2 linked regions of the Struthio camelus genome follow. The protein of the gene in region 1 purifies or fractionates together with the protein of each later gene. This does not show direct contact. Links are inferred from orthologs where the notes say so. Each region holds a gene or a part of one and is shown on either strand. Other genes may lie near its edges. The genes, in order: RIMS1 and ERC2.

Region 1 (16,245 bases):
CATCAAACATTAAGTGACTTCAGGATTTGGCAGCCCTGAAAAGTAAGTGGCTCCAGTATCTCCGTTGGTCTAGAAACCTGAATTCTAAGTTCAGATTTGTGCACCACACTAAATGGTCAAAACAGGGTGTTAGGATCACCTCCTCCCTAATTATCAATTGCCATTCCCTTGGCAACTCTTCAAACAACTGTGTTAAGGTCTGGGAAGGCTATGAGCACCTGTTGGCTTCTCTAGTGAAGCAATTCAGCTAGGATTACAAAACTAGAAGGGACTCCCCCTGTGTCTGTGAGTTCAGTTTCCTGCTACTGCCAATACAAGGCAAACAATCTCTTTAACAACCTGGTTAAATCCCATCACAGGAGTAGTACGAGCTTTTCTCCCCACTTAAAATTTGCTCCAGAAAATGACTGCCCTGATAATTAGAAACCTCCTTCTAATTTCTGGTCAAAATTTATCCAAGGGTGATTTATAGCTGTTCCCTTCTTGATCAACTACTGTTCCATAAGCAGTGGAGAAAAGCAAACTTTGACTGTCCCAGTGTATGGTGCCTTGTTGGGACATGAGAGTCCCCAGTAGAACAGAACTGGAACTCAACTAGCAGTGCTAATAGATGCTGTATTTTGCACATAATACTTAACTAATTCATATGATATAATGCACACAACTACTTATAAGCAAACTTCAGCTTAAATACATACATATAAATGCATATAGTTCTGTGATTTGTCTATGTTGGAAATTTATGGCAGATTAACAGAGGGTATTTCACTTCAAAGCACCTTACGACCACAAACAAACAATATAGTTGTTGCAGGCTTAGTGTTTGAATGTATATTCAAAACATTCAAAATCTTTCTTAAAGTGTTTTTGCATTTTTGCAAAAAAATTGCTTGTTTTTTCTCTTCAGCCTCACTGAAAACTTTCCTCCTCAAGCATCCCCACAATCACCTGTAGGTCAACATCTGCACTTCAGCCTAGTCACATCAGCCACTCAATACAAACCTCTTCCCTTTCACCTACAGGAGTACCTACCATGTAGAACAGGACAAAGGCCTCCTATGTGAGCTAGTCTGCAGAGGAGGCCATGGCACGTTCTACCACTGGGCTATACAAACAGTTGTTCATACAAGAGCAGTGGAAACTTAGGCATCTAGAACGCCAACCTCCATATAAGAGAGCAGAGACTACCATCTCCAGAGGAGTAGAGACTACCGTCTCCAGAGATACCCACAAAATCCAGCACGGTTGGCATGAAACAGGAAAGCAAAAATGGGCGAGAGCCAAGTCTACTGTGGTAAAGCCACACCTCCTCAACAGACTACTCTCCAGTGCCTGCTGTGGCATGCGCAAAGGTGAAGTTCTCGAGACCACACAAGAACAAGGAGGTAGCTCTGAAGACCAGAGACAAGATCCTTCAGCTGCGAGGGAGGATGAACTGCCTCCTAGTCCCCGAGCTTTCTGCATTTTAATCAAACGACTCTTTAATAAAGGCTGAATTAACAGCCCTGGCTAACAAAAGCATGTATCCCCTTGCAGGGGAGAGCTCTATTTGGGCTTGCTGTTGAGTTAGGCTCCTGGGCCCATAAACTTTTCATTCTGCTCTGTACGGGGAGCTAAACCGTCTCCACTAACTTATAACTTAATAATACTTCTCAAGACACAATCTCTGAGGCTGAGAAGTGCATTAGGCTTAGATAACCACTTCCTAACTACCAGGCTATTAGACCTAAAGTAGTCAGAAGCAGTAATATTGCCTACATGTTAGGAAAGGGGCCACCGCTTTAACACCGATGTTTTGAGTTGAGTTCAGTGTTGAGTCGAGTATCAACATGCGTAAGACGTGTGCTGTATTAGCATCAGGTCTTTCAGAAGACTTAAGCATATTACTGTAGTTTGTGACTCCCAAACAGGCAAAGGCACAAGACAGATAGCAAGTCAAGCAACCCACTGCAGCCAAGCCACTCATGCACCTGCACATGTTCTGGAGCTACGGGCCCTGGACACACAGGAATACCTGGCTTCTCAGGTGTCTTACTGAGGAAAGATTTTTGTGGACTGCACCCAAGCTGCCTCAATTTTTACTAAGTGCCAGGTAGGCATCACAGTGCTTATGTGGATTTGAGTCTTCAGTACCCGACACCAAACTGGAGCTGCACTTCTTTGCATCAAGGCATGGATATGCTCTCCAGAGTACCTATAGTGACATTGACTCTCTTAGAGCAGAAGGCAAAACCTGTTCTTTGGAGGTAAAGGTGACTTCAAGGGAATCGGCTAACATTGAAATGTTCCTCATGGCAAGATGCGGCTGCTCTTAAAAAAGCAAAAGGAAGAACCTTCACAGAAGTCTTCAAACACATTGCTCCAAGGTATTCAACAGGTAAGAGGATAACAGAATATTTCTCTTCCACAAACACCAAACAGGGCAGTCTGAAATCTGATATTGAAAGGGTCAGAGGAAGACAAGGTCTCTGTCACTGCTCAGGAATACCTTGGGGGGAGGGGGAATTAAAGTCACACTGGCCAGTACAAGTTGAATGCCTTTATCCTAAGGGCACGGCAAGCTCCTTTAGCCGGAAACTCGGCAGGCCAGTAAACTGACAGGGCAAGTTTCTGAAGCAAGATGGGCAAACAAGGTTTCAAATAGAAGGATACCTTTTTATAATTCTCCAGAACAAGCAGAGAAAGCATTATGTTGTCCCTAGTCCTGTTCCCTGTAGCAGCTCCCAGGCTGGCACGCTGCGGTATGTGCTGATGTCAGCATGAACTGACAGAGAGGTTTTACAGGAATGCTTTTAGCTCACGGTCAGAAACAGGGCTCAGGAAGCCAGAGAGGTACAGACATGATGGAGAGGGACTCAGCCTCATCACTGATGACCCTAACCTCTTTCACATCTCCTGAAATCCATGCAACTTACTCACAGAAACACCTCAAATTCATTCCCTTGGATCCGCAATATTATGATCATCATGTGAAGAATACTGTAATTTAACTAGCAACTGTTCCTACAGTTTTCACTATGAGGAACCCTGAAAAGGAAAATTATAAATACTGTTTCAGAAACTTTTATTGCTAACTATCAGGACATCCAGAACAGGACAGAAATGCTCTACCCTTTTTAGTCCTTATGACTCATGAGGCACCTGGTATTAGACCTCTCATTGGTCCAGGACTGGAAGTAGCCTAGTTTGCAACACAGATCAGCCTTACTTTCAGGGGACATTCCAGATTTGTATGTGGGCGTTACAGAAGGAAGCATTTCTCTGCCAGGTGGTTTTAAATGAAAACTGGTGGCTGTTTTGTTGAGACATTTGGAAAATCAGAACAACTTTTACTGAATATAATAGGAAGGGACAGTAATGGTATATGACTTTATAATATAGCTGTGTCATCTGGATAGCACCATTGCGTATTTGTAGCATGCCTCCACAAAATTATGGAAGTAAATTCTTGCCTCAAAATCCAATCTATAAGGGAAAGACGTGTATAGCTCTTGTTTGAGGAAAGGGGTAAATGCTAGGCATATAGGAAAGGCAAACGATTTTAGAAATATAGCGGCTCCATGAACATTCAAAATCATAATCTACATGAAAACTATTTGCTATGACCTAATTTTTGTAAATCAATGATATAACTAAAGCTGGTAAACAGGTTCATAAGCTTTTCAGTATATTTTCAATGAATTTCTGGCTCTTTATTTAAAGAAAAAAAAGGTCTTTAGAATCACAATCTCTCAGACTGAGGGAGAACCTAAACTGTTATTCTCGCAAATTAAAACAACTGTTTTAGGAAATAAACTTTTAACGTCAGGTATCATAAACCTTTAAACACAATATAAAGTAATTTCAAGCAGTAGTAATTTAACAAGCAGCAATTTTTGACCTCTTCTAAAAATTATTTTTAAGAAGTCTCCCACATTCTTTTAGTGAAACTGCTGAGGACTCCCAGAATCCTACAGAAGCAACAAAGTATCATTCCAGAACTCAAAAATGACTACATGAACCAAGAGCAGAAGAAAAAAAGAGGAGGAAAATTTATCCCCTATTTCATGTTAGCAAGAACGGGGCCGAAAATTACCATCTCGGCTGACAAAAGTCCCTTCTAGTAGTGACTACAGGATTTATTAGTATTGCTCTACAACATCATCATAGAATCAGTAATCTTCTTCACTGAATAAAAGGTAAATATTTATAGAGAAGTAGCTGTAGCAGAGGACAAGGAATGGGAGGAGGATAAACGCAGCTTAGAGCCTTTGAACTATTTCTCCCTTTCATCTTCTTCTCATAAATAAAAACTAAAGAGGCATCCCTCACTTATGTTTCCTCCTATTGACTAATACAATACATTTTCACAAAATATTTATTCGCTCAATCATTGCACCTCAAAGATTAACCACACCCCAAGCGCATCAGACAGCGAAATGAACTCTTCCTCTTGGACCAAGATCCAGACACCACATTCCCTGCCTCAGTCCCAGTCCTAGGCGATATGCAGCACGAGCAACTGGACCTCCGCATACACCTTTGCGATCAGCACCAGTAGCCCCTGTGGAGATTCATATCCAGGCACCGATGAGAAAGGACAGAGACAGCAATATAATGAATGACTATAAACTCCCAGCTTCACCACTTGCAATACATGGCACGGAAGTTAGGAGCCTGCAGGGATTTGGTATCTCTGTTGGTTAGAGGCAGCCGCCGGGAAGAGCTGGAACCCACGTCTGCCAAGCGCTTATTTCTGATGCGGCCAAAGAAATCCCCAGACCATGTCACGCCTTCCGAAGGTCCCTTCCAAACCCATACATATGCGGACAGAAGACAATGAGATAAGGATACACCTTAGATGGTAAAGAGACTGTAGGTAACAAAAAGGGTTGTGTGTATTCCATTTACCTATTCTACCGTTTCCCTCACAAAGTGAATAGGCCTGAAGGGTAGCCAGAAGAGGAGAAAATCTGATTCTCCTCCACAGGCCACAGTTTCAATCTGCTTATTCTCATCACTCACAGCAGGCAACTCAGTAACGTTAGGTTTGAAGCCTCCTATTGATGGAGGAGGCTAGGCAACGTGGTCACATGCATTGTTTTTGGCAAGGAAAGGGGGGGAAAAAAGAGAGAGGAAAGGTTCAATAGAGGCTGTAAGGTCCTGGTTTCCAAATATGGCATCTACCAACACCCCGAGCTCCCCACGCCCCTGCCTGTGCAGCCCGGAGCGTGATAAACCCAATTCCCCTCCGTCCCACAAGCACGCACGCACGCACACTTCCCCTCTGCCGTGAGCAGTGCGACTAATTACATTTGTTTTCTAATTATAAACGCCTTGTTGTCTCCACAGCGAGCTGCCGCGCAGCCCCTGCCCGCCTGGGAGCCGGCGGCGCGGCCCCGCGGAGGGGCGGCGGTTGGCGGCAGGGGCGGCGGTTGGGGGCGCGGGCGGGGCGGCCGTTGGGGCGCGGGCGGGGCGGCCGTTGGGGCGCGGCGGCCGTTGGGGGCAGCCGCCGACAACCTTCCCCCCTCCCCCCCCGGCCTCCCGCCCCTCGCGGACGGAGGGAGCCGAGGCCGAGCCAGGTGGGGGCAGCACGGCAGTTTCGGAGGCTCCCGTGAGCAGGGGAAACCCCACCCAGCAGTCCCTCCTGGAAGGGGCGGCGCCGTGGGGACCCCCAAGGAATCCCACCTCGCCCCTCACCCCCGTGTGGGGGCTTCCGCCCTCCGCCGGGCGCTCCCCTGGGGCGGGCAGGGCCGCCGTCCCTGTCCGTCCCGCGGCGCCGGGCTCCCCAGGCAGCTCTGCCTCCCGCGGTGCGGGAGGACAACTGGGGAGAAGGAAGTTACGGGTCGGGGGCGGAGGAGGACTGGGGCTCTGCAGCGCCAGCCCCGCTGAGGGGTCCCTGCAGGGCGGCCCGGAGCAGGGCGAAGCCGGCCCCGGGCACCGTCCTGCTGCCGCTGTGGCAGCGCCCGCTCCCGCCCGCCAGCAATCGGCGCATGAATGAGTGACTGAATGAATGAATGACTGGCGTCTGCTTACTTGAGCATGGCCTCTTCTTTCTCTTCCTCTTCTTTCTGCCGGTCCATCACTGCCATAATAATGTTCCTCTCCTCCTCTGTCAGGTGGCTCAGGTCGGGCAGCTCCTGCATCGGGGGGGGCACCGTGGGTGGGCGAGGGCCGCGGGGCCCCACCGAAGAAGACATTTTATTTCTGCCTCTCCCTTACACCTTCTACCTTGGCAAGGCAAACCAATCCAGCCTCTCCCCCGCCTCCCCTCACAGTGTAGTCCTCCGAGCAGCAGCAGCAGCCGGCAGCTCTCTGGCAGCAGCGGAGGAGGCGGAGACCCAGCCTTTCATGGTCGCTTGCATCCAAACCCAGCCCGGCTGCTGCTGCTGCTGCTTCCTCCCTTTGTTTCCGCGGCTTCAGGGAGCTGGGGGGCTGCCGCGCCGCCGCCCGCAGCCCATCCTCCTGGCGGGGGGCGTGCGGGGCGGGGGGCGCCGCGGCGCGGAGGGCTGCGTGCGGGGCGGAGGGGGGGCGGTGTGCGCCGCGGGCCGGCCGCGAAGGGCGGGTGCTGCCGCCGCCGAAGTGCTCCGCCGCTGCGAGCTCGGAGCTGGGAGGAGGAGGAGGAGGAGGGAGCGGGGGTTGGTGCCGGTGAGGCGGAGTCCGAGGCGCTCCGCCGCCGCCGCCGCCTCTCAGGCGGCAGCGCCGGCTGCCCGCGCCTCTCCGCCCGGGGTGCCCCTCGCTCGCCCCGCGGCCGCACGCCCGCGGAGCTGGCCCTGGCACTGCCTTTCTCCTGACGTCCCCCCTGCGGGCTTCTTGCCAGAGCGCCCAGCGGGACTGCTGCCTCGCTTTCAGCGGCCACCGTCGGGCTCTGGGCAGCCGCCGAGGAGCTGTGCCGCAGGCTTTCTGCGGGGTGGCCTAAGGCAGCCGAGGGGGCCTGGGCTCCCTGCTCTGCCCAGGTGCCATGGGAGCTGTCACTCCCTAGCCCCTCAGCCATGCTCGCCCAGCCCCCTTACCTTGAGACACCACGTTGTCCACCCAACCACCCCTTCCTCAGGCTCCTCCGTTCAAGCTTTGCCTCCACTTGCCTTATGAGCTCCTTACGCAGGGTAACAGGGGACCCACGAGCTTCAGCTGTTCCTCTCCACACTTCTCTGCGGGTGGTGAGCGCTCTCAGCTATACCCATATCTCTGTCACGTCCCATGTTTTCCCTGCTGGGACCCACCAAAACTTGCCATGAAACATGCCATAGTCCAAACTGTTCCAGCACACAAGAAAACAAAACTTCACTTCTGGACAGCTTCCCTATTGATTTCTGATTTACTAGCTCACACCTTGATTTGAGGGAGCTGGTAGTTAACACAACAGCCCTTCTCTACAAGAGATTATCTGCATGTAATCCACTGGCCAAAACTCATGCTTATAGCTCTGAAGGGTCCCCTATTCGAATGCATGCATATCAGTGAATGAAATCATTCAGGCTACTGAAAAGTGAAAAGCTGAGAAGCAGAGAAAACTCCACTTTCATATAGAAGGTGAGCTACTACTAACACATGCTGACACTTCAGACCTCTCTGTCACGCTTCTGACGAGGTCACAGCATGGAAACAGCTCTAGCTTCTAGAGAGATCATCTCATGGGCAATAACCAAAGGAAAAAAATCTATGCTGGCAGCGCTCAGTGCTTCTTGCTGCCAAACTCACTGGGTTTGGAATAGGGAGAGGGACCAGCTTTCAGCCAGCCACACTAATAAACTCTTGCACAAATTCTGAGGGCGATGAGTCTTCATGACCCTTTGAATTTGAGAGGAATTACTCTCGCCATCTGCTTGTGTCCCCCCAAGAGATTTCCTGCAGGAAACAAGCTGGTAATATAAATGAAAAAGAAAAAGCACTAAGCAGTACTGTGATCATGAAAACTTTCACTGATACTGTCCAAGTTCAGTCGCTTTCATCCTGCTCAGAAAGTGAAGTCTCTCAACTATTCCAGCGCATGATGGAAACTGAAACTTGAATGATCAACAGACAGCTCAGAACAGATTAAAGTGGTGTTAATAAGCAAAGCATTATGAAGGGGTGGTAAATATCATGATGTCATGGTCAGCTGAAGACACAGACCCTCCACTAATCTGAGTGGTAATTTGTCCCAGGGCCCAGCTACATTATCACTGCTAGGTGTAGTCCTCCTAGCCAAATGTTAATATATCAATAACATCACTTTCTACCGTCTGTGACCGCAAGGGAAGGTAACCTTTCTGTTAAGAGAATGAGGCTAAATAATTTTCCATTCATTAGCAACAAGCAAAAAGTACAGCAGCTAACTCTACTTGAAACTGAAGGAAGCAAGACAGAAAAGAAGAAGAAAAAAGAAGGTGAGATATCAGAGTATCTTTAGTATTTGAAAAAACTAAAACATGAAATGATTGGAATAGTAATACTAGATGTAATAATTATGTTGTTATAGATATTAACAGATAGTCCAGACTCCTTCACATAATTTAAGCCTGCACATGTCATAGAAGATGTAGCTCAAGTTACTGCAAGAACTAATTAGCTGAAGCAGCGGCCAAAGTTTGAGAGGCAATGCTTTAAGGCTCACCCAGACAAAATATTGAAGGCCTAACACTATACGATCCAAATGTCTCCATGACAATTTTATAAAGAAAATGTAACATCATCTAGTTAAGTGTGTAAGTTATCCTACTCACCTTTTTTCTTATTAGCTACTGACACAACACAGTCATGTAAATCTGTGCTGTATTACTTCATTAATTGCTATGTGCTGGGACAGGCACACAAATTCTTATTGCTACATGTGAACTACCAAATAAGTTCAAAGAGTGTGAGGAGACTTTACATAAAGTTTCTTATAACTTAAAAATGAAAGCTTTTGCAGACTAGTGGTAGGAAAAGTAAAGATGGAAGCTGGAATATGGTCTTGCACCAAGTTGATATTGTGAATAAAATCATACTACAGAAAATGTCTTAGGCATAACAAATGATTTTACATTATCTTATATTTTTGCACAGAGAGTAGAATTTTCTAGAGAAAAACACAAAAGAAGCCACAAAAATTCTCTCATTTTTCATAAGGCTACATTAGGAGACTCGATTCATGTTCTAAGTATTTCAAACCTCCACTGATCATTTTCTGACTTGCCTACATCTGCTTTGTAAAGATGAAATATCTGGCATTGATATCCAGCCAAAGATGCATGGAAAGCCCGATCTAGTTCAATATGTTATATCCTGAAGCTGAAATGATACATGAGAGCCTTGAAGAGCATTTCATTCCTGGCTAGTAAGAATGCCCCCCGTTTGGTAACATCTAAAGTCTTGTCACTGAAGGGCATTCTATTATTAACTGATGGGCATTTCTTTGAAGTCCTATCTGGGGAAGACAGCTGTGAAATCTAGAAATGGAATATGAGTACAACTGTTGTAACATATCAAGTAAATTACTTTCTTAAACTTTGCTGTCTTGAGAAACCAATCACTGGAATGGAATTTGTGATGAAAAACCCACATTTATGCTGGTTCCGACTAAACAAAAGTAATAGTCTTCTGCTGTTCATTTAATTGTTCGCCTCTAATTGTAATGTTTCTCAACTAAAAATGTTCCCTAAATTAAAATCCTCTGAATTACTAAAATGTATAATATATATTTGTGTTTCACTAACAAGTTCAGCCTTAGTTGTCAAGAAATGAAACTGACTTTCTAAGTGTTTGAGAATGTTGAGTTTCATTATGCTATGAAGTTGATGGCACAAAGTCTAGTAGGAGGCTTGCAGCTAGTGGTGTACTCCATGGGTCCAGTCTTGTTCAATGGCCTGGATGAAGGCCCAGAGTGCCTCTACAGCAACTTGCTGATAACACCAAACTGGGAGGAGTGGCTGATACACCAGAGGGCTGTGCTGCCATTCAGAGGGACCTGGACAGGGCTGGAGAGGTGGACAGAGAGGAACTTCACATGAAATTCAACAAGGGGAAATGCTGGGTACTGCCCCTGGGGAAGAATAACCCCATGCACCAGTACTGCACAGGCTGGGGGCTGACCTGCTGGAAAGTAGCTGTGCAGAGAAGGACCTGGGAGTCCTGGTGGACAAGCTGAGCATGAGCTAACAGAGTACTCCTGTGGCCAAGAAGGCCAATGGTCTCCTGGGCTACATTAGGAAGAGCATTGGCATCAGGTCAAGGGAGGTGACCCTTCCCCTCTACTCAGACGTGATGAGGCCACACCTGGAATTCTGGGTCCAGTTCTGGACTCTCCAGTAAAAGAGAGATGTGCAGCGAGTGCAGTGAAGGGCTACTGAGATAATGAAGGGACTGGAGTGTCTCTCCTATGAGGAAAGGCCGAGAAAGCTGGATTGTTCAGCCTGGAGAGGAGAAATCTCAGGGGGGATCTAATCAATGTGTATAAATATCTAGAGGGAGGATGGAAAGATGAGACCAGACGCTTTTCAGTGGTGCCCAGTGATAGGATGAGAGGCAACAGGCGCAAACTGAAACACAGAAAATTCCGTCTGAATCCAAGGAAAAACTTCATTATTGTGACGGTGACTGAGCAGTGGAACAGGTTGTCCAGAGAGGTTGTGGATTCTCCTTCTTTGGAGATATTCAAAAGCCATCTGGACAGGGTCCTGGGCAACCTGCTTTAGATGACCCTGCTTAAGCAGAGGTGTTTGACTAGTTGAGCTTTAAAGGTGCCTTCCAACCTCAACCATTCTGTGATTCTATGGCAACCTAGAGAATAAATTTGGACTACTCACCAAACTCTTATTGAGGAGAAGAATGACTATGCAAGTTAGACTACTTTGTAAATAGGTTAAGCTAAATTTCACAAGGGTACTCAATATTTAATAAAAGAGCCCGGGTGGAGAGTTACAGCATGAATAATTCTTTAAATTCACGATACCTGTTTTGCATCCACTGTTCCATAACTTCTGAGTGAACAAACTGAATGTACTACTATTTTTAGCTGAAACCTACTTAACTACAACAGAAGCTAGTAGTAGTTTCTAACGATGACTCCAAAGAGCAAGAGAGTCAATGGTTTCATAATGGGCATAGTTTATGCAAAATCCTTTGGAACCCAGGCTTCATTGAGTTTACTTGATAGGTCAAGAGCTCCTCTAAACTTTTTAAACTTTAGTTTTCAGAGATCTTCAAAGTAAGTAGCCCATAAGTCTATTGATTTATGCAAAAGCATTAATGGAAATTAAGGAAGTGTTACATTTTAGGAATCTTTCTTTTCTTGAGAAATCAAAATCACCTACCCAAAATATTGGAGAATATTTTGTCCATATGACAAAATGACAATATGACTGTCCTTTGTAACAGGACTCTCATAAGATTTTCAACGATTTCAGCCATCTTTGCTTGTAAAAAGAAGCACCCATGCTGTGTACAAATTATTTTTGAAAGTACTACCACTGAAATGTCCTTATTTTGCATCTTATAATTTCTTATTTATAAATACCTATCATAGCTTAATAATCTTATTCTTCTGAAATGTGAACTTTAGCTGAAGAATGGTTTGGGTACAATAATCAAAGTCTTTCATATCTGTATTCCTTTCTCATTGGTTCCTTCTTTCTTCACTGATGCTTCCTAGTCTCCTTCCCTGTTCTCAAAATACCCACAAGCACTTCACCACTTATCCGTTCCAACCACCTTCTGGTGCACCTTTCCTTACTGCCAACAGCCCCGTTTCTGCTCCTGCCCTTACCACTTACATCTCGCTGTGTACTTGGTATATCTACAAGACTCACCCCTCCACCATACCTTCATACAATATTAGCTCATACCCCTAAAAATATATCTCCTTTGATTTTTCACAACTCCAAGCATCCAGTATAAGCAAATTTTTGTTATACGTACATCTTTGATCACACTGCATCATATCTCATTCACTGCCATTCATTCATAAACTTTTAATCTGTTCTTCTCAATTCACACCAAGTATCCACATATGCCCCATACATGGCAGACGCATCCTCCCTTTATGGTTCCAGACCTTTCAGCCTTAGGAACTTTCCTCCTCCCCCTATCTTCCTTTCAGGCTATCCGAAGGTCATAGTCTGAATTTCTCAATTGCACTCCTACTTCCTTTTCAAGCTCTTTTCATTAGTCCGGCTGTGAGCAGCCATGATTGTCTATTTTCTTGTGGGAGGCAGACTGAAGAGAGGAAAGGGAAACAGACAAGTCAGAGGGTTTTTCTGTAAGTTCCTTCTCTAAACAAGTGGTGTTTTTTGTCAAACTTGTGGGAGACTGGGGGTAGTGAAAGCTGTGGAGGAGTCAGTTTGTCAGTCAGTTTGGGGGCTGTGATATTTGAAGGGCAGACATGAAGGGGGAGATATCCTGTAGTATCAAGGGATCAAAGTCATTTCTCACAATAGCTTTGTAAATGTGGGGCGCTGTGACTTCTCTCGCACTCAAAAAGGAGTCAAAGGAATTTAAAAGCTCCAAAGACAGACCAAAATCATAGCAAAATCTCCTTTTCATCAACATCTCATGATTTTCAAGAGCAGTTTTTTGTATTGGGATCTGACTCATGATTTTTCACTTCTTAAAGTTTGGTCGTACTGCAATATTTTAAGTGAGGAAAGAAGGTCATGGCTAGCTCTAGTATGAGAAAAAATGAAAATAGTTCTTTTCAAGGCAGCCAACAACCGCTGTAACAAAGGGAGGTTGTTGCAGGTAAGGATTTCAGGGTCTATTCTGGACAGGATGTGTTATTATGCCTTAATTTATAATAAATGACTACACACTGCAGTGATGAGTGTCTTAAAAATACTGCCAGAAGTCTTGATCTTGTTTTAAATATGAAAAAAAAAGGAAAAAAGATCAGAAAAAGCAGATCCATCAGCAGAAAACCTTATGGAGCATGGTTTTGGATGACAGCTTTGGATCCTCTAGTGTCAAAGAACATGGCTAAATTCACACTTCCGCTTGTCCTTTGGTAGCTGCGTAAGTCTGAGTTTCCCTTATCTGGCTGCTGATTTTCATAAAACCTGATTATCTGAAATTGGTCAAGAGATTCAAATGTATTGCTGGAGAACTGACAGAAGAACATTGTGATTGCATAGCTTTGTTTCCTTAAAAATTAGACTAAAAAGCCTCTCCCCACCCCCATAGGTCTCTAATTATTCCCTTTGCTCTTCTCAGTTCCCTCCTGTTGTATTTCTGGCATGGCAGTTTCCAGAAAATCATCCCGTCATTCAGGTGCAGCTTGCCAAAATTGCAGAAACAGGAACTGTCACCTTCCTCCTCCATGACATGATGCTTCTATATGTGCAGCTCCAATTCATACACCCTTTTAGGTGCAATAGTGCATTTGCAAACTTGTGTCTGATTTGAATCTGTTATGAACTGATTCTTATTTCAGCGTGGCTACTTTCCATATGCGTTTTATATGTTATTTTTTTAATCCCAGAAATACTAACAAGGTTTAAAGTGCAGCATCATTTTCCAAACTGCGAAGATCAGTTAGCATTTTGTCTCCTTTTAACTACAAAGAAGCACAATAAGGACAGAACTGACCCCAAAAAAGGGTATCTTCTACTCTTCTTTATCTTCTAGACCTATTGTCTAAAGCTGATAACGCAGGCAAATTCTGCATCACGTTCAGCCCCGTTCAGTTCAGGAGAACTCCACATAAGGCCAGTTGCGTAGAAGAGACTTAAGTTTGTAATATTTTTTTTAAGAGCTGCCAGAAAGACTGAGAAGTGCTATGGCTCAGACGGTGGAAACTGAAGCCCAATACTCTTAGTCAGCAATCTGGCAGTCGAAAAAGCGATGATTCAGTAAGTAAGTAATGCAACATTTTCTATAATTGAAGCCCATATCTTTTGGAATAAGAATTTTATTGTTGCTTCAGTTGTTTTGCTGAACAGCTTTAATATCATTAGTAAAGTAGCCTACAAATATAATAAATATGTAATCTACATTGTGATATATGAGTTTTTGAATCTGTTCTCTGCCAATTAAAGTATCTCACCATTATTTTACATTATGACTGCAGCAGAGAGTGCAGTAAAGGTAAGATTTAAATGGTCTAAATCACTAAATGAGCAGGGTGCCTGGTACATTGCAGTCTAATGCTGTCCATGTAGCCAAAAGCCCTACAACAGCTGTCGGAAGCCCAGAAATACTCTTGTCAAGAGAGTCCGAGAAAGTCCTGCTGTTTTATCAAGCCTAATTGGCAGTAAACACCTGATTCCCCAGACAGGCTATAAGGAAGCAGCAGGAGAGCAGATTGTAGTGATGGGGGAAAGACTGTCATTCTGCAGGGCTGTTTCTGTAATGGAGTATGAACTATAGCAAGTTCTGTCCTAGGGTCTATTTACAGCCTATGTAATAATAATAGTGGTATTCAGTTCTTGTACATCTCTATTTATCCATAAATTGTGAAGTACTTTAAAAGGAAATCAGTATTACTACTAGAACAGGCACAAGAATTTTGATGGAATGTTTTGCCTTTAAAAATAGTGAGGCAAAGCTTTAGAATATTATCTTTAGTTATCCAATAACTATAGTCAGAAAAGATGAACAACCTTTCAGGCACGCAAGCCCCTTTTAAGTCCAAAAGAGCAGCAAAATTGAAGCTAAGAACAGCCTGGGAACAGTTGCTCTGAATTTAACTTTATTTTAATCAGCTGGACAACTTGAGAAAAAAGAGCGCTTGAAATATATGGACTAGAGAGGATGTTGGTAAGAGGAGTGGTGCATTTGTGGAGCAGAGGAGGAAACAGGGAAAGACAGACAGAAAGATAATTATTACCTGTGAAAAAGGAAGATGTGAGCTGAGATGTGAGAACAACCAGATGTCATAAAACCAATACCTGTGTTGAAACCATGATTTTTGAAATGCAGGTTCATCAAAATGAAAATATTCTTTAGTAGTGTGTCACTATCTACTGCATGGTTTACATGGAGAAAAATGAAAATGCTTTGTTTCGGTGGTGTCAGATTTCTTTATTTTGATAATGTTTTGATTCATTTTGTTTGAACATTTGTATTATGCTAAATTATTAAAATAGCAACAGCTAATGAAAAAATGTGAGATAGATATTATATTTGAGTTAAATACTTTAATATAAGAAGGACAATCTTATTAATTAAAGTAAAGGTATCAAAAAGAAAGCTATGATCATCCCAAATCAACATTTTGGGGAATTTTTGTTTTGAAAATATATTTTTTTAAATTCAAATTTAGTACCCCTAAAAAGAAAAAAAGAAAAAAAACACATAGAAGTTATTTGGGTTCTCAGCAAGCTGTACCATTTTTATAATTGGGGAAACTGAGGCACAGATGGAATAAGTGACTTTAATCAAGTCATCAAGCGAATCACTGGAAACGAGGAGGAAATAGGAAAAGGCTACATCCCATTCCAGTGCTATAACCATTCATCTGCCTTCCTCGTCCTAGGGTGCTTTTGTAATCAAACTGAACAGTCTGAGTAATTACTTCCCTTAGTCTTCCCTTAGTTGCCACGCTGAGTCACCACAAAGAGTGAGTGCTTCTAATGCACTGCAATACAAAGTACAAGAGGTGAGCTTAAACAGGTGATTTAAAATATTTGTTTTAATATGGAATAAGGAGTGCTCCTATGACTATTTACCGTGTGTTGGATATTGAAGTAGTAAGCTAAAGATAATGGTAGCTTTAACTTTTCAAACATACTGACATTAGCACACCTGATATATTTACGTTTAATGAAGTCTTGCCTCCCCATCCTGGCCTGCAATTGAGGAAATTTTGCTCAGAGTGGAACTTGCCCGCTATACTGATCTTTCTTTTTTTATTGAAATAGTTACTGTGAGTGCTAGCCAAAAAGGAAAGTAATTCCTCTCATTTACTTCTTCTAAGTATAGACTAAATTACGCTTGAGGGCTTCTAGTTTTCTTAATGTAAGGGATAGTGCACATACTGCTTTAAAAGTATCATAAGTGTTGCAAAAAATATGTTAATATTAAAACATGGTTTCAGTTCTACACTACAAGATGAGATTTGTAGATAAAATTAGCTTTTTTTTTAGACTGATATAGTTTGAAAAAACAGCTTGCAGGAACACAAGTTTTTCTTCAGTTTTTGATAGTGGATTTAATTTTTTTAAGTTGCTATGTTTAAGATGTTTCCATTCTGAGACTCTCAGTACAGAGAAGACTAAGCACAGTGAAATGGTTCAAATTCAGAAGAAAACTTAAGTGAAACTAAATTAAAGTGTTTTCGTACGTCCAGCACGGTATTTTTATATTTCACCAGAA
Region 2 (16,993 bases), on another chromosome or scaffold:
TCATAACTAGAGTGGAAAGTTGTAATTCATAACATATATATATAAATATATTTATTTTCAAGACTTATATTGCTTCAAGAGAAAGCTTATTTTTTTAACGTTATCTTATAAAACAATACTTACTATCTTTCTTTCCCTTTGATATACATAATAGCAAAAAGGTTATAAGATGTTAGCTCTAAAAGCCACAGAATTAACTCAGTTAAGTGCTCAGTAACAACAGAAAAAAGTCAAAAAACAAGTATGTTTCCTTACAAATTAAGTATAAAATAGGAAAAGTTGCACTTCAGATGCATCAGAAGATTTTCAGTAATTCCAAAATACACACTTTTACACAAAATACACTTATTTTTAAATAAGGCAGGAGCTATGGTAAAATAATACCCCCAAAAAACTGTTAATCATGTTCATACAAGAAGAAGCATCTGTATTGTCAATACTCCTACTGATAGTCTTTGAAACATAAGATTGTTTACATGATAACCAATAAATATATTAGACATACATTAGAGACAGCTATTAATTCTTTACAGGAATATAACCCAAGAATCTAAAATAATTTGAAGGAAATTGACTGTATTTAACTGTAAATTTGCCTAATTTTACATTAGACATGTTTAGCAATATTCTATCATTTATACCAATTTATTTTTTGAATTGTAAAACGCATTTTACAATAAATGCATTAATACTTCTACACAACAGAGTATTTTCCACTGAATTCACAAAGGCTTCTCCCATCAATATTATTAAACACAGGCTTATACGTTTGCAAGATAAAGCCATATTTTCCTTTTTTTGCTATAAAACTTCCTTTTCCATATGAAAGCAATAAAACCATAGATACACCATAGACAAACTAAATAACCATAACACCAGCTATTAAGATTGCCTGTCTAATTTCCCACATTTTCTATTCAATTGGATGTGATAAAACTTTGAATACTTAAGCATTGTGATATTTAAAATTTAGCAAGTTTAAATGTACACACTCTGCATTTTACATTTCTTGGATTCAACAGCAGTATTATGTATGTTCATTTAAAATATAAAACAAAAAGCATACATTTGTGTATTCAGCATGCTTTGCAGTCATCAGAATTCATAAGTACGCTGAACATCGCATCTCTTTTCTCCTCAGTAGGAAATAAGGGTGCGCACATATTTTAGGATCGTGCCAAAAAAGTGAAACTGGCTGTACCTAAGCCATGTTAGACCAAAGTCCTCCAAGGAACACAGACTCTGTAAGTGGTCTGACTGATTTAGCTAATTACCTCTGAATCAGCATAGAGAGAGCTCCATGGAACTGTTAGAAAACATTGCACTTTTGGAATTCTTCCCCCCCCCCCCCCCCCAAAAAAAAAAAAGGCTGAAAATAGTTTCCCAACCACTTCTGGTTATCAACAATTTCATAGCACCACCCAATCCTCCACCTTCACACTGACACAGAACCCATCTTAGCTCAGCATAATCATGTCAATTCACAAGTGCAAGTTAGAAGTCATTACAGGCATCTGATGTTAACATCTGACACTGATGACAGATGCTATTGTACTGCTTTCATTAAGGCAAACAAGTTGCCTGAGCAGATTTCAAACGAGGTGAAAAAGATACCTAAATAAAAGCCAAGGTACACCATGACTGCCAATACATAGCCATCAAAAATAGACATGCTTTACACAGCAAACTGTCTTCCGAAGAAGCATCTGAGAATACCCATTTCTTAAATTATTATTTGACATTGGTCATCAAAAAGAACAATTATGCTTTACCATGTTATGTTTGTATGCTAACCCAAGATGTTCAAAGAACAGAAGTGACAAAAAATATGGTATTTTAACAACAGAATACATTTTGAGAGAAAGAATACATTAGAGAAAATTCTTTAAGTCAAAGTTCACAAGGTTATAAAAATATAGACCCTATGCTTTTTTATAAAAATATTATAGGATTCATTATGTATATGTTCTATGCAATGTTTGAAATATCACATATATCTTAGCAGATTACCTGTAAATTAGTTTTACTGACCATGAAAAGCGCTGAGTTAACACTACTGGAAACAAAAGCAGCATCAGTGCAACCTCCAACAAGATTTAACTTGTATTTGCAAGGAGGAACTAACTCCTGGAAACTACAGTACTGTGGTCTCCAAATCCATTCAATTTATTATGTTTTTGATGAGACAATCAAATCAGATGCCAAATAGTCGCAGTTGTGAGTCTGGACACAGTAAATCTCCATTAGGAATCAGAATGAAATCACCGAAGTACATTCTGTTAGCCTCTCAAAGCCAATAGAACAGTATGGCCAATAAGTCAACATTCAACCCAAGGAATCTGAACAATTTACTTGGAGACAAAATGCTCCACATACATGCTCTACGCAGTGTGATCTGTTGGACTAAATTCAGGAGTGGCAAAGATTTCTCTCGTATTTCTTTCACTTTCTTAGAAACAAAATGCATGCTATATCCAGCTAGCCAGTCATTAGTCTGTGTTTATAGTACATTCCTTTCTCTAGTGACTTCCTGCCTCAACTCCAGTTATCTCAGCAACTATAATGCATTCCATTTTCACATGCACCTTTACAATTTATCTTTCACTTATATTTTTGCTCCTTTCACCTTTTCATGGTATTTATTAAACGGGGGGGGGGGGGGGGGAGGGCTAATCAAAAGAGATTTGTTAATGATTTTTTAATTTTTAAAAATGTGATTTAACTCTAAAGCAAATCTTTCTAGTCATTTTTCTGCTAAAGTCATTCTTTTCTGATTTCTGTAGAAATTAGCTGCTAGATTCTACAGCTGCACTGTGACTTCTATCAGAGGGAAACCATATCAGTGAGTATGACAAGCAATGAAAAGTTTAAAATATATGCTAATAGCTATTGAAAGTGGGATTCTTAACAAAAATAAAGACACACGTTAGCTAGTTGGAAGCTTCATTTCCAGTAAACGGTGAATGTAAAAGTGAGTTTCTAAGCTAACCTTTTGATAGTCGAGAAATCTTATCTTCCTCTTTGAAAATCTGTTTTTAAAAGTTCTCAAAAAAAATTTAAGTATTGCTAGACATCCAAATGGCAGTTTCCCGCACATCCAGTCACAACATTTTTTGTTTAGCCTGGAGAAGAGAAGACTGAGAGGCGATCTCATCAATGCATACAAGTATCTGAAGGGAGGATGTCAAGAGGATGAGGCCAATCTCTTCTCCGTGGTGCCCAGCGACAGGACAATAGGCAACGGGCACAAACTGAACCACAGGAAGTTCCATCTGAACATGAGGAAAAACTTTACTGTGAGGGTGACGGAGCACTGGAACAGGTTGCCCAGAGAGGTTGCTGGAGTTATTCAAAACCAGCCTGAACATGCTCAATGTGCTCTACATAACTCTGCTTGAGCAGGGAGGTTGGACTAGATGATCTACAGAAGTCCCTTCCAACCTCAACCATTCTGTGATTCTGTGACAACTTGAAACTCTGAGGTAGATGTTGGATTCTAAGCCCCATTCTACCTGCCATCCTAAAACAACAGAAATTCTGACACTACAGTTCTCCCCCATTATTCTTTTTGAGAATTAAAGAGATTTATAGTGATATTCAACTTTCCAAACATGTAAATTGTCTATCTCCAAGCCTACACTTGTAATATCAAGAAGGAATTTCAGATTTCCATGGACAAAAATGGTATGACAGTACTTCTTCACTACTGCTTTCGTCTTGTTCAGAACATAGCGCCTGGCAGACTATCTCTGAAAGGACGTGAGGTTGGTGTTCCTACCTAGTTGTTATAATTACTCCAAAACTAAACCTAGCTGTTTAAGACTTTCCAAAACTGGGCATTTTAGAAGCCAATATCACAAGTCTTTCTTGAGAAGAACGACCAAGAAAGTAGCATTGAAACTGAAATACTATGCAGGTTTTAATCTTCTCTCTAGAATCATAATTTCCCAAAAGCCTGTAGTCTGTCATATTTAAAAAATAATAAAAAAAAAAGCACAGAGCTGAAAAAATGAGGTTGAAGCCACTGTTAACTCAAGACAGATGTGTACCTTTTCCTATACAAGCAAACACTCCAGTATCTATAGTTATAACCATTTCTGGACCCCACAAACAGCCCACAACCATTCCCTGACAAAACCACGTATTTTTGTTACACCTTATGTATGGGCAGTGACAAGCCAACATAAATCCATTTCATTTTATTTCAAAAGGATTGTTTCTTAAAAATAAATTTTAAAAAAGCATTAGCCTACACTTATACAATAAAACAAAAAAAGGAACAGTTAAAAATCAAGTGCTGTGAATTGACTTTTCTGCTGATCTGTATTCTCATTTTCTTCGAAGTACCACCCAGAAGAAGCACTACCAAGTTCATTTAGAAATTTTTCTATCCATTTCCTAGGTTTCTCTTGATTACCTATGCCCCTCAAAAAGCAATCATAATCTCCTTTTGAGTTAGTAATTCCTGCCCTGTTACCAAGACTTTATAGAAAATAAAAATCTAGTATTAATGTTATGAAAAAAGTAAGTTGAGACAAACTCATCAGTGCTAAGTACACATATAGTCATCCAAAAACGACTACTTTCTTTGCAAAAATACATTAAAGTAATGCCAAAAATGAAAAAATATAGAGCCATAAATGAATTAGTAGGTGCACTACAAAAATTATTTCAATGTCCCAGTAATATTTCTTAGGTGAATGTGAACTATAAAATTAAATTAAGGAAAAAAAAAATCACTCTTTACCCCAAGCATCTTACAGTCTAAATTAAACTGAAAACATAACAAATGCATCACGATGGATAAAAATATAATACTGTAAGAGACATAGATGGGAGAGCATATGCTGTCTTTGAAAGTAATACACTGGCTGGTTGCCTCACCCTCACTGAGGGTGAAAAACCTACTCTTATTTTGTTAGTCATCCCTTAGAGGTCTGCAAGACTCATCTTTCTAAAGCAAGAAAATCACCCTGAACAATCTCTTTCAAACACGCACAGGCTGAATAGCTAGTTCTCTGAATACCAAGTTGATTTGGCATTCTAACCTGGCTGGGTGTGCTCACTTGATGTACTAAGAATATTGGTCTCCCCCTTCCATTGCCACCTTTCTACAGCCTTCAGAGCAGCAGGAGACAGGAGGGGCAACTGGCAGGAATAGCTATACTACCATTCATCAGAACTTTGACCCAGCATTTGAGTATCAGCAGGTTAGGGGAGCTGAAGGAGCAGAACCCACAGACCATGAGAGAAGGTGAGATGCGACTCCTCCGAAGGGAGCTTAAACACAACAGAAAGTGTCATATCTTAATAATAACAGATTCAAATACTGCCTGAAAGAAGGTAAAAGGAGACCTATGCTCAGGAAGACCAAAGACACACACAATTTCTATGGCAGGGAACTCCATTTTGCCCAGTAGGCTGGGAAAGGACAGAAGATGTCTCAGCACACCAACTTTCTCTTTGATTTGTGTGAAGAAGAGTAACTAAGAAACCACTACAATGGTACAAGACATATCTTAGTTCAAAACAGAAGACACTTGGTATCCATAAACCCATCTTTATAGTGGGGAGGAGGGGAAGTAATCACCGCCAATTAGAAAACCAAAGCATTTGATCTCAATGCCAGAGTGAGGAAGACAGTATCATCTTCCACTTTCAGGAAGAAATCATACCAACGTAGGTATCCCACCACCTGAGCAAGACTAAAGTAGGAGCTACTTAAAGACAACAGCAGCTGATTCTCCTCCAAACCTGTAAATATACAGGTTTGCAAATATACAGGTATGTAAATATACATTCTCCAACATAGAAACATCCTTTCAATCATCAGTACTACCTTTCAAAATCCTTACTCTGACTATTTTCTGAAGTCAGTATTTCACCATCTGTTCTCTCAAAAAAAAAAAAAAAAAAAAGCCACACACACAAAAAAAGCAAAAAAGCATTTCTGAGAGAATGACAGCAGCACAGTCCACACCCTCACTTTCTTTTTCACCAGCAAAACATTATCTCCTTCCCCTCGTAGTGGCAATTTATGTGGTGATAAAAGAAACTATTTCAAGGCATAATACCTTGAAAGTGAAACTAATGCTACAAAAAACAACAAATAAGAAACATCTCAGTTGTCAACTCCACAGTTTGGATACCCCAATTCAACCTGAGCTTATGAAGGACTATCATTCCCTTCACTCATAGGGCAGAAAATCTCTCCTACGAACTGCAGCAGAAACAATGGACGAAATCCTGAGGCTGCTAGGACAAACATACTGTCTCTCCTCTTCAAAAAGCGCTTAGGAAGTGAGAGCACCTTAATTTTTTTTTCCCCATCAATTTCCACTTGGAAAAGTGAAATAGCTAACTCACCTTGATGCCTTTTAAGACTGTTTTATAAATGGTTTCCAAAACCATTACAAAAAACCCAGTAGTGGAAAAGTTTCTCTAAAGCACTGATGGAATGTAAAAAGAGTAAGTTTCACACACCTTGCTGGAGGGTGAAGCCTTAACACAGTCACCCAAGACTTGCATTCAAGGTAGCTAGAGAAATGGTCAATGTATCTTTTCCCACAAAAACATACTATTTAAGGTGACTGAAGAAACTTGCCACTATACATCCCGTACATGCAAAAACAGAACCTGAAAAAAAAAAGCACATTTTCCCCATCATGTATGAGGAAAAGAAGAAATCTGAAAAGGCACTGCTCACGTGGGTGAGACAGTGAGGGGACAGGGCGGGGGCTATAAAAACTTCCACTCTTCTACAGGTTAGGCGTCGAGACCACCAGCTAGCACTACCAGAAAAGCGAGTTAGGAAACTGCCTGACCCGGTGAAGCAATCAAGGGGCACTCGAAAAGACGTTTTCACACTGTTGGAGTGGTGTGGGCACCACCACCACCACCTCCGCCGCTGCCGAGGCACGCCAGCGCGGGCAGCTGTGAGGAGGGGACCAGCGACCGTTGACGCCTGCGAGCGACCGTTAACACGCGCGAGGCGCCGCCGGCGCGCGCTGCCTCCGTTCTCCGGCAGCGAGACGAGCTCGGGCGTTCCGGCCCGCCCGCGCGGGAGGGGAGGGGCGGGGCGGGGAGGGGCGGCACCGCCCCGCCCCACCCCGCCCTGCAGCGGGTGCCAGAGAAAGCCCCGTCGCGCAGCTCGTTCCCTGCCTCGGGCGGCTGGTAGGACCGCGGGGGTCGATCCGCAGCGAGGTAGGGGGAGCTTCTCCCCGCGACCAGCTGTGGCGGCGGGAAGGGGGAGAGAGGATCGGATCTCTTCCCCTTAGGCGAATTCAAGGCTGTCTTCCCCCCCCCCCCCCCCCCCGCAGGGAGGCTGCTGCGGGGGTCGTTGACGCGGCGCGGGTGGACGCGGCGCTCTGCCACAGGCGTCGCCCGGCGGGAGCGGGGCGAGCGCGCAGGAATCCGCGGAGACGGTCGGTCTCCCTGCGAAGGAAAGGGGAGGTGGTGGTGGTGGTGGTGGGGGCAGCAGGGCAGCCCGAAGCCCCCGTGCCGCAAGAGGAGCGGCTGAATAAGCGCTGAGGAGTTCCCGGCTGCCGGAGGCGGGAGGGGAGCGTCAGCAGCGCCACAGCACCTGCGCCCCGAGCGGGGCGGCAAGGAGGGAAGGCGTCTGAAGGAGGATCTTTCCCGTCCTCTGCTTCACCACAGGGAAATGGAAATGCCGGCAGCCAAGACACTTGATGGAGGGGGGCACCTTCCCCTCTTCCCCGCCCTTCGCGGGGGGGGAGGGGGGCTGGGGACGGGCCTGGTCTCGGCGGCGCTGCCGGGAAGGGCGGGGGGGGGGGGGCCGAGGCGGCCGCCCTGGACCCGCACCCGGCGGTGGGGGAACGGGAATAGGAAGGGGGGGAGGAAACAAACAAACGAAAAAAATCCCAAACAAGCAAACGGTAAAGTGAAGCCACTGATTTAAAAAGCCAACCAGAAAACTAACCCTGACAAGTAGGATTTGCCCTCCTCTTGGCTGCACGTATTGGCCGCGCTTATTTGCAACGAGCTTGTATCTGCCGACGCGAGTGGCCGGTTGGTTTGTCCGTCAAAAGGGAAATATCAGTTCGCCGCTAAGGGAATAGATTCCCGTCCATCCATCACAAGGCTTAGCAGGTAGCCGCCTAGAAATCAATCATACACTAATAATAATAAAAAATAAGCCTTCTCCGTCACATTACTATTCTAGTGTTTCTAGCAAAATATATGTGTACGTTTGATTAATAGATGCATGGATTTTTATCATGTGCATCACTCCTGTGCTACCTAAAATGATCTTGAAAAACCACACACGTAGGATAATAAATGAGCAACCCCAGTAAGTATTCATTAATTATATAACTGCAAAATAATATCCTGCTAGTTTCTGGCTTCCCTTCCCCAGATACTAAAAGAGAACAGAAATCTCTTCCTCCTCCCCTCCCTGACACAGTTTTTTAAAACACCAGACATTATCCAATATTGAGGTATAAAGCTAGGAATTTTCAAAGCTCATCAATTCTGTTCTAGAAAACTTTAACAACAGCAGCAATATTTTTAAACACCGGGCACAAAAAATGAGAATCCTATCGCTGCTTTTAGGAGAAATTGCAAGAAAGGTATCTGGCTGACGATTCAGTAGGGAGAGGCACTCTGTTACCAGAATAAGATATGCACTTGGTCCCATTTATTGCAATATATTTATAAAGCAAGGTAAAAAGCTTCTTCTGCAATCTCATTTCCAATTTCAGCTACCAGACAGTTATAGAAAGCAATATATAACAATTTCCTTAATCACAATTAATTTATAGTAATGTGTTATGGCCATATTCTCGCGTAAGCTTCTCACCTTTCAAATCATTGCATCTGTCTCTTCGTCCTCACATGGATTTTACAACATCACGTTTAGCTGACATCTCATCTGCGCAGAGGAAGGCAGCAGCGCGGAGAGCTGGAGCACCCCAACACCTACGGAGAGAGGAAGAGCGGGGACCTGCTGCAATCGGGGGAGGCTCATGTGCTCCTGTCCCTCGTCTTTCTGTCCCTCAGTGAGTGTCCCTCAGCCAGCTGCGAGCCTGCCTGTCTGGGCTGCCAGTCCCTGACTCAACATTCCCAGCATTCCCGAGGAGCTGGGTTTTCATCCGCGCTGAGCGGCCTGCCGCCGGGGGCAGCAGCAAGCTCCCTGGCAGCAGGCACAGCAAGAGAGCTGTGACAGCAGCAGCACACGTACCACAAGCCTGTGGCTTTCTCAGAGTATTTGTCTCTGTCCGTTCTTTGCACACCCAAGGGTTCCATCCCCACCCAGCAAATGTCTGAAAGGAAAGCACGTTAGTCATTGTGCAGCAGCCTAAAAATACACCTATGTCTGCGTAAAACTGCCGAGGCTAAATTGCTTTCTCGGCTCTATTCATCAAAGGCTAAAAGCGCTCAAAGACAGATGCTTAAAAGCATCGTGTCTAAAATCGGTTACTGTGTGTGCATACACACGCACACGGGAGAAAGAAATCTAAATCTGTATTTTGGCCTAAGTGTCAAAGTAATTAAGGAGATGTCCAGATTTGTTTCTGGGTTAAAAAAAATTAGCAGAAAAAAGGAAAAGTGGAAGATTAGCTGCTATATGAAGCCTGAAAGCCTTTTTCATCAGAAAACTGCAAACTGCATTGAAGAATTGCTCCTGAGGTTTTATTTATTTAGTTCGATATTAAGGGGAATGAGGGAAACATTCCTAAAAAATACCACTGACTTCTCATCTTAAGGAATGCATTTCTTTCGTCTTCCATTTTTCCCTTCTCTCACTATTGTATTTTCTATGGGTTTACTTGCTGTTGATAACAAGATATTGTAGCTGATCAACCTCAATCCATAGCTTGAAGGCAACTTCATACCTTACCCTCTCCAGAATTTCACAAATATATTGTATCTGCTCTTTCTTAATGTCATTGTTGTGACACTTCTTAAGACATAACTTCCTATCTGTAGTTGCCTTATTGTAACCTGCATCTTACCTCCTATCTTGCCCACATATGTACCTATATGTACCACTATTGAGAATCACTGATTAGGGCAGCTTTTATGGATTTTCTGTTAGAAATTAGGTCAAATGAAATTGGTTTCAACCAAACAGGTTTAAAAATAACATAACCCCTTCATTGCTATAGTTGCATTATCCAACATCAATTGAAAGTGTTTGCTGTTGCAAATATGTATTTGTAGATGCAACTATTCAAAACAATGCTAGAATCCAAATCATAGTAATGATAATGGGTTTTATTTTGCTAGGAAAAGGATATATATCTATGTACCTCAACTATATTACAATATAGGGCAAGTATTTTTCTGTGTTCAAAGTAATGGGACAAACTGTGATCAAAATGCAAATTTTAATCACTTTTCAAAGCTGTGTATTTACTTGAAGAGATTTCTGTTAAAATAGTTACAAAAATATGGAAGTGATGGACAGAGAAAAACAGTTCCTGGAGACACTTGACAAGAAAGGACGTGGTTTTGTATACAAATAATTGACTTGATCTAAAAAGCAAGCAGGAAGTAGGGTTTTTTTCTGTACTTCAAAAGGTAGCAAGTCTGCATCTGTAAGAAAATGGATAAATGCTGTAAAATGTGGGTCACCTAGCAATGCTTCAAAGCGCAAGAAATGTCGATTTTCAAAAGTTTAATGCTTAATTTGGATTCAGTGTGCAAAAAGAATATCTTGCAGAGCTGTCTCAGTATTGCTAATACCAATTCTGTCTCAGTACTGTTAATGATGACAGGACTTCTGTTAAAAGTGGTGTCAGCTGCTGTCAGTTTTTTTTAAACAGCTTATCACAGTGTATACCTCATATAGATGCAGAGACAGGAAGATCAGGTTCTGCTTCATCTTTTTGTGACTCATTCACTGGCAAAGGTTATGGGCCTTGTGACAGCCGCCAAAAAAGGGGATCGTTCTGACAAAAGACCAGTAGCCTAAGAATCCCCTTTCCAAGGAATAATAATTGTGGGAAGATGCCACAGAGCTACCATAAGGTTGCAACAACATTGCAATGAATTAGGCTTGCTATCATTCAATAAAGTTTGTAGGAGAATTAATCATAGACCATCTTGGAGCAGTAGACCATCTGCAGACGGACTGTCAGTACTGCTAATGCCAAAGAAGAAAATATACCCATTATGGACAAGACCATTTGGTATAGGTATTTTTTTGCAAAAAAATATATTTTGCCAAATTGTGTTGGAAATAATTATTGGAAGAAATGTGCAATTCAAATAAAGGGAATGATCAGAATTTTACAGATGATCTATTTAGTGTATTAGAGAAACAATACGTACCCAAACAACCTCACAGCCACATACTCCAAACCCTTGAATAATACTTATTCCTTACATTCAAGACAATACTGGAATCCCAATCCAAAGGGCAGGGTAATAATGGTAATATATACTTGAGAAGACCTACTTTGCAAGTGATGAAAGCTCTCCTTTCAGTCGAATGGTGGAGCATTTGTGTTGTCACTGGTGTTGTGATGCAGGTGGATGCCATTAAGCATGAAAAGAAGAAAGCCAGGTCATGTGAGTAAACTAGCATTTTTTTAAAAATGTAAAAAGTTCTGATATATGATTAACAGACTTCATTTTTAGCCAATTGTTAGAGGGAAGCAGTCAGTTACAAAATTTGAACAAGTGTTTATAATATACATGTCATGTGGTGGTTTATCTATGGATTACACTTTTCAACAATTTCTACCTTACAGGCATAAACACATATTTTTGACTAGTGTGTATGATTTTTTTCCGTGAAAATCTTTCTATCTTCAAAATACAGCATATTAGTAATTCTTCATGAGTATATTATATATCAATACCTGCAAAGAGCCCATTGGAATTAATAACAAAATTCCTTTAGATTTAAATGAGAGTAAGTTAGACCCTAAACAAATAAAGTACAGAAGAAACACAAATTTTAAAGTCTGCTATGATTTTACTCAACCTATGCTATACTGATTTCAGAAACAGGGAAGTATAAAACATGTATAGTCTTCTTGCAATTTTTTGGTTCAGTTTTTCTAAGTATAAATAATTTAAATTAACATTAGAAAACACATATAATGCTACTGATAGTACTCAGTTCCTGTGCCTCCCATTACGCTTCCCAACTCTTCTTCCGTGTAGTAAAGACATTTCAGCAGCATCCAGCTTCCTTTCATATTTTGGTGAAGATGTACGCTGTTCAGAACTTCCTTTTTTGAAAACAGAAATACAAATAGAAACGGAGCTCAGTCGCTACTAATGCATAACTGAGAGCAAACAACCACAGGTGTGTGCTTTAAAAATTGAGAAAAACGCATTTTAGCTTTATTCCCTTGAATCTGACCCTGATGTTTTCATCTGTGCCTCCCTAGCGGCTGAGTTGCTTTCAGCTTTAATTTTCTATTACGGAAGCCAAGTCAGTAGCATGATATAGCAGTCTCCTTTACTTTTTAAATAAAAATTAAAAGTTAGAAGTGACTTGGAAAAAACAATTCTGGCATTACATAAATATCATGTATGAGAAACTGAATTGCTTTCTCCCAAAAATAATAGAGCATGAATAGAAACAATGTAAAGGTATGAAGACAGAAGCATGGGACCTTCTTAAGGAGAAATATATACGATGATCAGGAGGGTCTGTCCCTGCGTTATGATGGTAAAAAACAAAAGTCTGTAAGGTAATACTAGATTAGAATATTACTAAAAAATTTAATCAGTAATCCTGTTTACCCTATGTTGCAGTAAAGAGTAAAATAAATGCGAAGATAGGCTGCTTGATAAAATTTAACTCTATATTGCATTCATGAGCACTTTTAAAGTTAGTTATAATTGTCCAGTAGAACTTTCTATCACACAATACTACTGAGATAAATTGCTTTGATAATAGTCAAAGAAAGGGATGTAAGGGATTTATTTTGTGGAAAAGAAAATAAGTTATGATGGATGTTGGTCCTCTTCATTCATTTTAACAGCTGGTTCCCAGCAAAGATCAAATCAGCAAGTAACCTTCATAGCGCGAGTACTTTTCAGTTGGTAAGATCTGAAGAGAAGAAAATTTATGGAAGTGTGCAAGAAAAGAAGATATTTTCACGCAGGGTATACTCATATCTCTGGAAGAAAAGAAGAATAATCTGCATGATTTAAGCTGAAGGTTACAGAATAGATGTGGTGATCGGACTTGGGGTGATCGGACATGGGGTAAGCATGTGAACTGAAACCATTTTCCAGGATGAGGTCCTATTAGTGTAATCTATGGAGGTGTTTTAGTCTCAGTCAGTAATTCATAGGACAGCTCTATTTCCTCTTTATCAGCTCAGATACCTGCCTACAGATACCTGTTAAATTCAGTCATAAAATGGTTTCCACTGGAAGTTATTTCATTCTTTACTGTCCTTATGACAGATCACCAAAGTCTGCTGTCTTAGTTTTCAAAATCCTTAGTATAATTTATTTAATTTTATCTCAAAATGACACATGCTTTACAGAGCATGGGGAAAATGTTACTTAAGGTATACATGAAAGTTTAATACATTATTGTGGAATTCATTGTGGAATACATTACTGTGCAATTCAAAAAAGGAAAGTGGATGCTTTTTTGGCAATTGCATAATTAAAGCAATTTATTGTGCACTGCATTGCTAATCTAGTCAGGATAGAAATAAAGTTACCCTAGCATGTTTTCTTAGTTTCACTGTTGCAAATAGAGCAAAAGTAGCAAATTATTTTATAGTGAAAATATCCAGTTCATAGAACTCCTGCAGCTGCCACATCCCAAAATGCAGATATTAATAGGCTTTTCTATCAACTGTACAGTATGTCAGAGTCCTAAAAATATTTCTTGCAAAAATTCAAACTCAAGTGGCCCCTAACAACATCTAGTGAATCTAGTTTAAAAAAATCTTGAATTAGATTTAACATTTTAAGATCTAAAATTTTATCAATGGTACTTTTATTTAAATCTCGCTGCATCTGTTTTATGGGAACACAGTATTAGCCGCAATACAATATTGTACCCATCACGCTCAGTGACTATGCTAGTGCTGCTGCTTAACAAGCAGTGACTAGTGAGCCATAGGCTCCAGGTAATATTTTTATGTCAGTTTGGACACTATGAAGTTTAAATCCAACGGACATTTCAGTAAGCTTTTAAGTGCATACCTTATTCCTAGAAAGTAGGCCTAGATACAAGCAATTCTACTTAGAAGCATCAGCGCGAGGCACTTCATCTGAAGCACTCCTCAATACCCCAGTTTTATGAAGCTGAGAAGATCTCCTTCCCTACATGTGTTCTCAGCCGCTGCAGCTGACAGGTACAAACAAAATCAGGATTGTAGGGCAGTTCCCTCAAGCATGCTGTCTTTTCTCAGCAAAGCTACAGAACGGTTGTCCAGTAAGTGAACATTTTGCTTGAGAAACCTTCTTCTCTGGTTTTAAAGAGCTGGGTACTGAAGCCTGAGTCACTGCCATTATCACATTTACATGGTAGAAGGATTTGAACAGGAACTGAACTGCTTAAACTTGTTAGATCTTGCTCCTCAAGAGTAGTCCCAAAATGGAAGTCAAATTCCCATACTCAGTAGCTCCCCATTAGGTCAAATAAAGTAAAATAAACTGAAAAGAGTAAAAACTAACACCCTTGAATAAGCACTTCAAACCGAAAGTGAATACATATATAAAAGGTAGCAGAGGATCAAGCTAACAGTGAATCTGCAGATGCTTCACTACTCTAGTACTAGTTGTGGATTCTGATGAGGAACAGCATGTCCGACAGAGTACCAAGTCCAATATGCCTGATTATGGAAGGCCAATCCAGCTAACATTAAAGCTACTTATCAGTCAATAACTGACATTACAAAGAAGGCATGAGGCTCACAAAACTGTTGTAGAGCTCCCACGTTTGTAAGAGGAGGACTTGACAGTCTTGTATCTGTTATTCTGTATAGACATTTATGCTGAAGGGGATTTATAAAATTACTATTTTGAGATAGTAACATTTTATATATATTTCACATTACTTTATGGGCTTACACAAAGTACAAAGTCATGGGGAATTAAGTTCCATTTATCTAATATATTACTTTAGCCAATTTACAAATGTTTTTACAGGTGCATTTACACCTGTACTAGTATTTCTCCTTCATATTTTTGCATGAAAACATCAAAAAATACTCCAAAACCCAAGTTCCTCAGTGAAAAACTATGATGCAAAGGCTCAGGTTCTCTCAGTCTTCAGTTTTATTACAAAGTGGCAGAAATTTTAAGAAAATTTTCAAAATACTCTGAGCTATGCTTGGGTCTATAGCTAAAACATCAAGGTTTTTTCCTCCTTTCATGTTTTATAATTCTAGTTTGGGAATATTTTAAGCTATCCAACATTCTTTAATTTTAAATTTGTTTGTTATACATGGAGTTATGCTGTATAAAATACCATCCAGAGAACAACACAACAATGTTAGATTTCTACCAGTAGCAATACATTTTTGCCTCACATAGAACCTAAGACCAGATTTTAAGGAACCGTTATTTCTGTAATTGGACAGTTGTCTTACGCTCCATAATTTCCACTGAAGTATGTCTTAATTTCATTGTCTAATTCTCATATTATTGTACTGATAACTTTTAGAAAGGGATCTCTTACACTTAACAGCACTGGATTTCACACTTGTGATTTAGATTCTTGTAAGTGCTGTAATGTAGAAGAGCAAATGGTACGTGCCATTCTGAATACTTCATTTATGTTCTGATCTTTCAAAACTTAAGGAAAGTTTAATATAAGTTTGAAGGAACCTTTTATGTTGCTATAATTAAATATCAGTATTTCTATGATGATTGTCTATTACTCTGACCTGATGAAATATCAGGGCTTCTCCCACATTTGTTTAAAATTTGGCCACTGTTTGAGGATATGACTTCAAATGATTGTGTCAACTTATCTTACCAGTTCTGGAATTAAAGAGATAAAGGTCTTTTTCTGATTAACTTCTCATTTAGAACAAGCCCTGTAAGCTGCAGGTATAGTAGCACATTTAATTACCCCTCTCTGGCATCCAGACCAAATGGCGTAGAATGGTCTGGATTGATACTACTAAGCTCTCTAAGCTCCCAAAATAGGGTAGTCCCATGTAAATTGTCTATTGGGAACATACTCTAACCTACACTGACTTCCAAAATATGCTGAGAACGGGGAGAGAGGGAGCTGGTCTAGGCCAAAACACGATAGCTACTGTTCTATCAATTGAATAGTACCAAAAAATCAAGTTTCAGTGCCAAGAAGTGCGTCCTGACCTTGTTTAATTTACCAGCATAAACGTAACTTTAGATGAAATTCTTTCTTACTGTCCCATTGATTATGAAGGCATTCTTTTCCTCTTTCTCCAGAAGCATCTAATAAGAACATCCTCCTCTGTACCTGATACATCGCAACAAAAAAAAAAAGCCTATTTCAATACTGAGGGTTGCAGATGAAGCACCTTCCCTGGGTAATTTAGATATAGGGATCAACTCAGTATCACCTTTTTTGCATTGTTCCATTCTCAGTATTACATCCTATTCCACTAGTATATTTGTTGATTATCTTTCCTAGAATGAGTAATTTGTGATTTCAGTAATTGAGACACAACAATGTACTGTAATAGAAGTGTTTTTTAATGTATGTAAAAATAGTGGAAGTCTACATTAAATTGGACTTCCTGTGAGTTCTTTATCTCTTTATTAAGTTACATACTGAACTGATATAATATGAGCATATTTTGTTTACAGAACTGCTAGGTTATTATAGAAATGTTGTTAAAGCAGGTTATTGTGACACACACCACAGTGAAGATCACACAACAATGTAACCTGGAGAGACAAATCACTGCGTTTCTCTGCTTAAGCATGGACTTGAGTTAATCAGTGCCCGGGAGTATCATGGTGTTGATTTAGTAAGTGTTTTGTGCAACTACTATTGTGCAATCATAGTGCATAGTGCTAACAATAGATTAACGTTACAATTTGT

Evidence for each region.
Region 2: the proteins of RIMS1 (region 1) and ERC2 purify together in Homo sapiens (affinity purification with western blotting; 3 studies listed by BioGRID and IntAct, with this or other methods). This does not show direct contact. The link is inferred for Struthio camelus from reciprocal best matches to the Homo sapiens genes RIMS1 and ERC2.

What each region holds. Positions count from the first base shown.
Region 1 is NC_090944.1:41,557,057-41,573,301, reverse strand, and holds the start of RIMS1 (regulating synaptic membrane exocytosis protein 1), read right to left. Parts: upstream 6,461-16,245; 5' UTR 6,180-6,460; coding exon 6,016-6,179; intron 1-6,015. UniProt on the Homo sapiens protein: Rab effector involved in exocytosis. May act as scaffold protein that regulates neurotransmitter release at the active zone.
Region 2 is NC_090955.1:15,816,718-15,833,710, reverse strand, and holds the start of ERC2 (ERC protein 2), read right to left. Parts: upstream 8,920-16,993; 5' UTR 8,822-8,919; intron 8,118-8,821; 5' UTR 7,940-8,117; intron 1-7,939. UniProt on the Homo sapiens protein: Thought to be involved in the organization of the cytomatrix at the nerve terminals active zone (CAZ) which regulates neurotransmitter release. Seems to act together with BSN. May recruit liprin-alpha proteins to the CAZ.